2 linked regions of the Canis lupus familiaris genome follow. The protein of the gene in region 2 purifies or fractionates together with the protein of the main gene of each other region. This does not show direct contact. Links are inferred from orthologs where the notes say so. Each region holds a gene or a part of one and is shown on either strand. Other genes may lie near its edges.

Region 1 (3,817 bases), on a different chromosome or scaffold from region 2:
GAAAATGAAAACATGAGGAGAATATTCTGGGGTGAGAGCGGAATCCCGTCTGTGTGAAATAAAGGGGCAGACATTTGTACTGGGAGCATATGTGGGCATAGGCCCACATAGAAAGTTCTTGAAGGAGACATACCTATGGAGAGTGAGACTGGGGTGGAAATAGGACAGGAAGGAGAGAAGAGGACCTTCACCTTCCTATTTTATATACCTCAGTATTATTTTAATGTTTAATCACAGATTTGTATTATTCCTAGAATACAAGCACATTGACAGCCAGCATATTTTTGAGGGGTATTCTTTTTGGTATTCAAATGGTGAGGTGGGGATGACAAGTCACACAGCACTGATCAAGCCACACAGGGCCTTCAACAAACTCAGAGCCTACTGCACCATGTCCAGTCTCCCCAGGGGGCTGTCAACTTTGACTATTCCCAAAGATTCTGTTCCATCTAAGAGTGACTGCCCCCTCCTCCACAGTCCTGGAGCTGGGTCCTCTGTGCCAACTAGATTTCAGGGAGGCACAGCCTTTAACTGATACATGATGCCAACAGTATATGGCAAAAGCCCTGAAATCACTGAGGTATGAGATCATCTGGAAATTTGGACTACTTCAATTTCACAGGTGAAGGGAGGCTCTCAACTGAGCTACTTCGTTAAATCTCTCAAACCACTCTTAGTAAATAGTAACGATTATAGCTCTAAAGAGACAAGAGGAAGATCTCCTACCCCTGTCCTCCCCCTGGCTCCTCCCCACCCCCACCCCACCCCTGCCACCGATTACCTGCAGTACAGATGTGGCAGGACGAGTGCGGGGCCCAAGCAATGCCATTGACACACGCTCGGTGGTTGTTCAACCTGGCAACAGGTGTGCAGGGAACTCGGACATCCAGAATCACTACCTGCAGAAATAACAAGTAAAAGGCCCAAGAACCTCAGGGTATAACAGGAAAACAAACGAGACATTACAAGAAAAAAAGATCCTAAAGTATAACATATTCATTTGTGGATTTAAAGACCATTAGAGGGATCCCTGGGTGGCGCAGCGGTTTGGCGCCTGCCTTTGGCCCAGGGCGCGATCCTGGAGACCCGGGATCGAATCCCACATCGGGCTCCCGGTGCATGGAGCCTGCTTCTCCCTCTGCCTGTGTCTCTGCCTCTCTCTCTCTCTCTCTCTCTCTCTCTCTCTGTGACTATCATAAATAAATAAAAATTAAAAAAAAAAAATAAAGACCATTAGAGGCAGAGGGTCTTGGTCCCAAAAGCAGTCTTAGGATTGAGGAAAAAGAAAACAAAAACAGGCAGTTTATAGTCTATATGTGGGATCCCTGGGTGGCGCAGCGGTTTAGCGCCTGCCTTTGGCCCAGGGCGCGATCCTGGAGACCCGGGATCGAATCCCACGTCGGGCTCCCGGTGCATGGAGCCTACTTCTCCCTCTGCCTATGTCTCTGCCTCTCTCTCTCTCTCTCTCTCTCTCTCTGTGTGACTATCATAAATAAATAAAAATTTTAAAAATATATATATAGTCTATATGTTAAGCAACATAAGGCCTTCAGACTGATAAGGAAGGAGTGAAGCAGGAGTAGGTAACATGAATTTGGATAATCCACCAAGTCCTATTGGGTGCGTGTACTATGGATTCCATGCGAGCTTGCTGGACAGAGTGAGAGGCCTCTCCCCACAACCCCCAAAGTAGAAACTGAAATGTAAGAAGTCTGAGGTACCAGCTTCACCAAAAGTTAATCACTGCATCATCTCCACCCACACTTCACTGCTTCTATTAAGTTAACAGGCAATGAAGAGTTGTCATTTCTATGTCTGTTTGCTAAAGTTGGAACAATCTGTCCAGACTAGAGAAGGGGAAAACTGCCTATTTCTTTACTCAGCACCGTAAGCACATAATGATTTGGTTTACTTTTTAGACATTGATTTTCATGGCTCCACCTCCAATGCTCCAAGTATTAAAAGTTCTTAACACACAGTCCTTGTTTTAGATCAGGCTTTCTCAATCTTAGCACTATTGACATTTTGGGTCTGATAATTCTTTTCTAAAGGTTTTATTAATTTATTTGATATAGAGAGAGATAGAGAGAGAGCACACAAGCAGGGGGAAGGAGAAGCAGACTCCCAAGTGAACAAGGAGCCCCATGTGGGGCTGGGATCATGACTTGAGCCAAAGGCAGACAGACGCTTAACAGACTGAGCCACCTAGGCACCCCAGGTCTGATAATTCTTTGCGGGGGGTGGGGGGTGGGTGGGGAAGGGATGATTCTTGTATGTACTGCAGGATGTTTAGCAGTACCCCTGGCATCTGCCCACAAGACACCGGTAGCACTGCGCCCTGCCCACAAATTAGGGCAATGTCCCCAGACATTTCCAAAAATCCAGAGAGAAAACTGCCACCAGTGGAGAACCACTCTATACTAAGCTATACTAAGTAATGCCACAGTTAGGTGGCCAGGCCTATGTCAGCCTGAAGCAGGGTACTCACCTCCATTCCATCCATGGCCATAGTGGCCAGGTAGTTAGGGTCCTGCTTGTTCCAGCAGAGGCGAAGCAGTGGGTGATGCTGTGGGTCTTCATAAATGATGGTGCTGTGTTCTAGATGGCGGAGGTCAAACATCCGCACCGAGCCATCAGCGCCCACAGAGGCAAACATGTCCCTGCCACCCCCAGCCCGACTAAATGCAATATCATAGACCTGTTGGTGAATAAGAAGCTTCTGTCAGTTCAGATCCGTGACCTTCCTTTCCTGGAGCAGGGAACTCTACTATCCCTAGTCCACCTAAACCCCCTCACAGTATCTGTGAGTCCTGGCGCCTAAGAGCTCTAACATCAGTGACTTTCCAAAGGACGAAGATCATTTTGCTATACAAACGAGATGGCTTCTTCCTGCATTCCTGCTTTCTGAGCCTTTTGCCTCCAACCCTTGTGATAAGACAAAGAGCATATATCCTGCTGAGTAGCAGGGCACAAGTCAGAGCAAGTATTCTGCATGCTGTCAGCCAGTGGGTATCTTCTGCAACACTATAGAATTGAGACATTCATTTCCTGGGCCTTTGTGGCTTTCATTTGTGAGTGATCAGAGACAGATCCGTGACCAAGTTAAGGCCACTAATTTGAGAGGCGGGAGCAGCCCTCCTGTGGCCACTTAATAGCAGTCAAGCTGGTTCTGCTGTGAAACCCAGACCTGAGACTCGTTTTCAAGAAAGAAGCAATAGCAGTTTTGAATCATGGGAGACTCAGATGTTCCTGTCTTCACAAAGAGGTTTAGTATCACTCTCTTGTCCCTAGGACATGTTCTATTTCTTCACCTAGTTGGTCTGTATTCATAAGTGAATCAATTTAGGTTTTGAATCATTGTTTTTTGCATTTATTACTTGCTGCAAACATTCCACACCACTAATATCTATGAGACAACACAGGCAGAGAGCTTCAGAGAAAGAAAGGGATGAAGAGAATCAGACAAAGCCAGACCAGAGTGGAGAAAGAGAAAAACGGAAAAACCAAAGCCAAGGATCTCCCGGGGTCAAGGATAGTAACAGCTGCTTTCTGGTGAGATAGGAGTGGCTTCACTCACTTCACTCAATACCATCGTTCTAGCCTTCTTGAAGTTCTGCCTGCTAAGGGACATTGTCAAGGAGCACTAATTTCTATTCAACCTCATAAATTCCTTTTTCTCTGGCTGACTATGAAGTTATGTTTCTCTTCCTATGGTAGGGATTAGGAGTGGTTCAAAAGCATTTCCTCCTAAACCAAGGGAAGGTGACAACTCCTGGATATACACTACCCTCCTCCACGCCAAGCCCTGTGCAGGCAG
Region 2 (3,408 bases):
AGGAAGAGAAGCTGTGCCCTCTGCTGGCAGGGGCTTCCTTCAGCCTGGCCACTCCCCTCCTGACACGTGAGCCAGAACTGGGTTTGGCCAACCCCATACCAACCCCCAAATATCAGCCTCCTCAGGCCACGGCCTGACCTTCTAGAGGGCTGCTGACCCTTTAGAGTTCTGGAAAAATCCCTAATATGTTCCATAATTAAAAATCTATTGGATTTCCACATCAGGTGTCCCCGACAGCAAATTCTTAAATGTCACTTGCCGCCATATGAAAATAATCTTTGAGAAGTTCATAGATAAAGTTCTTCAAAAACTGGGGCCCCACCCCCCAACTTCCAGGAATCTTCTGTCGCTCTCTTCTTCTCCTTTCCAGTTTGGTGCAGAATGGGTTCGTGAGCTGTGTTTTTTGTTTACCGACGTTTTCTTTTTTTTTCCTTTTTCTTTTTTAAAATAAAAAGCATAGATTTCCCCCTCCTCAATCCCTTCTTTTTTAAAATGTCTTCTCTGCTCTAAGGTCCCCCCACCTCCTGGTTCAAGTTTTCTTGGTGTCCGTCCCTGCCCCTTGCTCCCTGCCCACCCTGCCCCATTGCATTGTTTGTGTGCCGCGTCTTCAGTATAAAAAGCTCGGCTCCCACCTCACCCCTCCACCCTCCTCCCTGCTGCCCCTCCTCCCTCCCCTCCCCTCCCCTCCCCTTCCAGTGTTTATATGTAAGGGTACTGGTTGACCTTGGCGGGGCTCAGTGGGTATCCAGTGTAGACGGTGGAGGCTGGAGAGGCGCTGATGTAGGTCTGGTGGGCAAACTGGGCTGGATACTGACTCGGGTGGATGGTGGGTGAGGGCAGGACCCGGGGGCCCATGCTCACGGGGACCTGGTGGACGATGCTGGCCGGGTAGGCAGTGTGCTGCACGGTGTGACGCGCTGAGCCTTGGGAGGCCACCAGGTGGGCCACGGTGCCGGTGGAGCCCAAGGCCGCGGGCGCCGTGTAGGTGTAGAGGTGGGGCTGGGCAGGGAGGTGGGCTGCTGCAGCAGCGGCGGCCAGGTGGGGGTGCACAGTGCCGTGGCTGGGGCTGTTGTGCGGGAAGGAGTACGGGGCCTGAGCCATCGTGGGAGTGATGTAGGCCTGCTGCCGGCGGTGGCTCCCGGCGCGCTCTGCGGTGATGTGCTGCTGAGCCTGGAGAAGGAGAAGCACCAGGAGAGGGCTGCATTGGGGGCCAGACACGTGGGAGGGGAGGAAAGGGAGGAAGAGGAGAGGTGAGGAAGGAGGGAGAAGGGTGAGGGAGGAGGGAGAGGAGGAGAAGAGAGAGAAGTAAGGAGGGGGAGGACAGTGAGGGGGTAAGGGGTAGGAGGGAGGAGGGGGAGGAGGGAAAGAGAGAAGTGAGAAGGGGTAAGAGAGGAAGGTGGGGTTGGGGGTGGGGGGAGGAGGGCCAGGGGAGTGGGAAGGAGGGGGAGGAGGGGGGGGGAGGAGGGGGAGGAGGGGGAGGGGAGGAGAGGAGGAGGCCAGAAGCCACAGGAGTGAGGGAAGATGCCTCCCCTATAGGCTGGGAAAGCAACATTAGCCTGGACTGAAGAAGGAACCCTGTCCCGAGCCCCCAGCTGGATGACACACAGATTAAGCCAGTTTGAGGAGGTAACAGGATGTCTCCAAACGGCCTACTGCAGCTATGAAGTGTCAGAGGAGCCACTCTTTGAGTGACAACTGCTTTCTCCCTCACTGTGAGATCTTGTTCTCTAAAGTCCTAGGCTCTTGGACACTTTGCTGTTTGAAGTTATATTGGTACAAATGAAAGAGCCCTCTCTTCCCGAGAACCAGAGTTGTGACGACACAGAGATGCGGTCTCAGTTTACCAAGTGCACCACTTCAGACGAGGGGTTTCTGAACATAAGCTCCCCCACTGACGTCCCCTCTATGGCTTCTGAGGAAACAGGCCCCTGAGTCCACTCTGCAATTCGGACCTGACGTAGACCCTTTACACACAGGCCAGCTCTACCGAGGAGACTCTGCCTTCATTTATAATTCTACCGAAAGGCCACCCACCTGCTCCAAATCCTCGCTTGCCCTGGGTTTGGGGTTCCCCGTGTGTGACCTGGCCTCCCTCATCACAAAGACCCACTAGCCCAACTCTGTCAGCCTGCCAGTACTCTGCTGGTGTCCTGGTCTGACGGGGCCAGGACACAGTGTTTTACCCACAGTGGGAAGAACTCAGAGGTCCCCGGCCCTGTGAGCCGGGGTGGGTGTGGGCCCACCTACAGCCACCCGCTGGGAAGTGGAGGCACGGAGGGGCCTCGGTGATGTGCGTGGTTTGCAGGCCGCTGAGGCCAGGTCAGGCGGCACTCACCTGGCTGAGATTGAGAGGCTGCTGCTGCTGGAAATGCGGTCCTGGCCGCTGCTGCCGGTAGGCGATGGCTCCGGACGAGCTCCCTGAAGAGTGACCGCTGGTGGAGGTCACGTTGCTGGAGGACTTGGACTTGTAGGACGAGTGCTGACTGGCGTTGACTGTGTGGGAAAGAATAAGGGGTCACAGATGGCTCAGAGGTCCCCCTGCTGCCCAGAAGACCCTGCCCCTAGGGGAAACAACAGTGGTCTCCTAGGAAGGAGTGTGTTCCCAAGACCAGCCAATCAAATTAGCCTCGTCTCCCCAGATCCAGCTAAGAGTCGGCTCTGACTCTGGACTGGCCACTGGGCTTTGGCTTGTCTCACTGATTGGGAGCAAGTCCCAGCTTGTTGGACTTAGAATTCCTGTCTGGTGACACTGAAAAGCACAAGGAGGCGCTAACGGAGGAAAGGAGGAAAGGTCTCTCTCTGTAGCTCTTCGTGCCCCATCCAGAGCTGCAGTGGGGTTGTCTGCTGCGATCCAGAGACACAGTGACACATAAGCAGAGTATGGATAATGGGGCCTCAGAAAAAGAACCACACATGTCCTGAGGAAAAAAATCACCCATGGCTGCAAGTGTAAAACGGGCAAGGCTGGGGTAGAGGATGCTAAGTATGAATGAGGCATACATCACAATGAGCAGGCCCTTGATGTAACTGTGTTGGATCAATTCCATTACAAATCCCAGGATGATGAAATCAAAGTCAAAGAGGAGATGGCTGGGGCCAGTCAGAGAGAACACCGATTAATTGCTCAGGGAGAGAAACATGAAGAGCAAAAGTTTGGGAAACCAGAAACTTGGGGAGGGGATGGGAGATTGGGGTGCACACTGAAGCCCAAGAGAAACCTCCCTGCCCTACAGGCAGCAGCTGTAGGAAAGAGAGAGCTGCCCCACTGGGGATGGAGGCAGTGAGTCCTAACAGAGACCCCAATCTGACCGTGCATTGGCACTTGAGGGTCCTCCCATCCCACCCACTAAATTAGAACCCCATGGCGGGGGGTGCTTGGGGACCTGAATTAGCAACACATGCCCCATG

What was found.
Region 1: the proteins of HIPK2 (region 2) and DCAF7 purify together in Homo sapiens (affinity purification with western blotting; 3 studies listed by BioGRID and IntAct, with this or other methods). This does not show direct contact. The link is inferred for Canis lupus familiaris from reciprocal best matches to the Homo sapiens genes HIPK2 and DCAF7.

What each region holds. Positions count from the first base shown.
Region 1 is NC_049230.1:15,339,976-15,343,792, forward strand, and holds part of DCAF7 (DDB1- and CUL4-associated factor 7), read right to left. Parts: intron 2,699-3,817; coding exon 2,489-2,698; intron 900-2,488; coding exon 782-899; intron 1-781. UniProt on the Homo sapiens protein: Involved in craniofacial development. Acts upstream of the EDN1 pathway and is required for formation of the upper jaw equivalent, the palatoquadrate. The activity required for EDN1 pathway function differs between the first and second arches.
Region 2 is NC_049237.1:9,022,873-9,026,280, reverse strand, and holds the end of HIPK2 (homeodomain-interacting protein kinase 2), read right to left. Parts: intron 2,494-3,408; coding exon 2,336-2,493; intron 1,171-2,335; coding exon 700-1,170; downstream 1-699.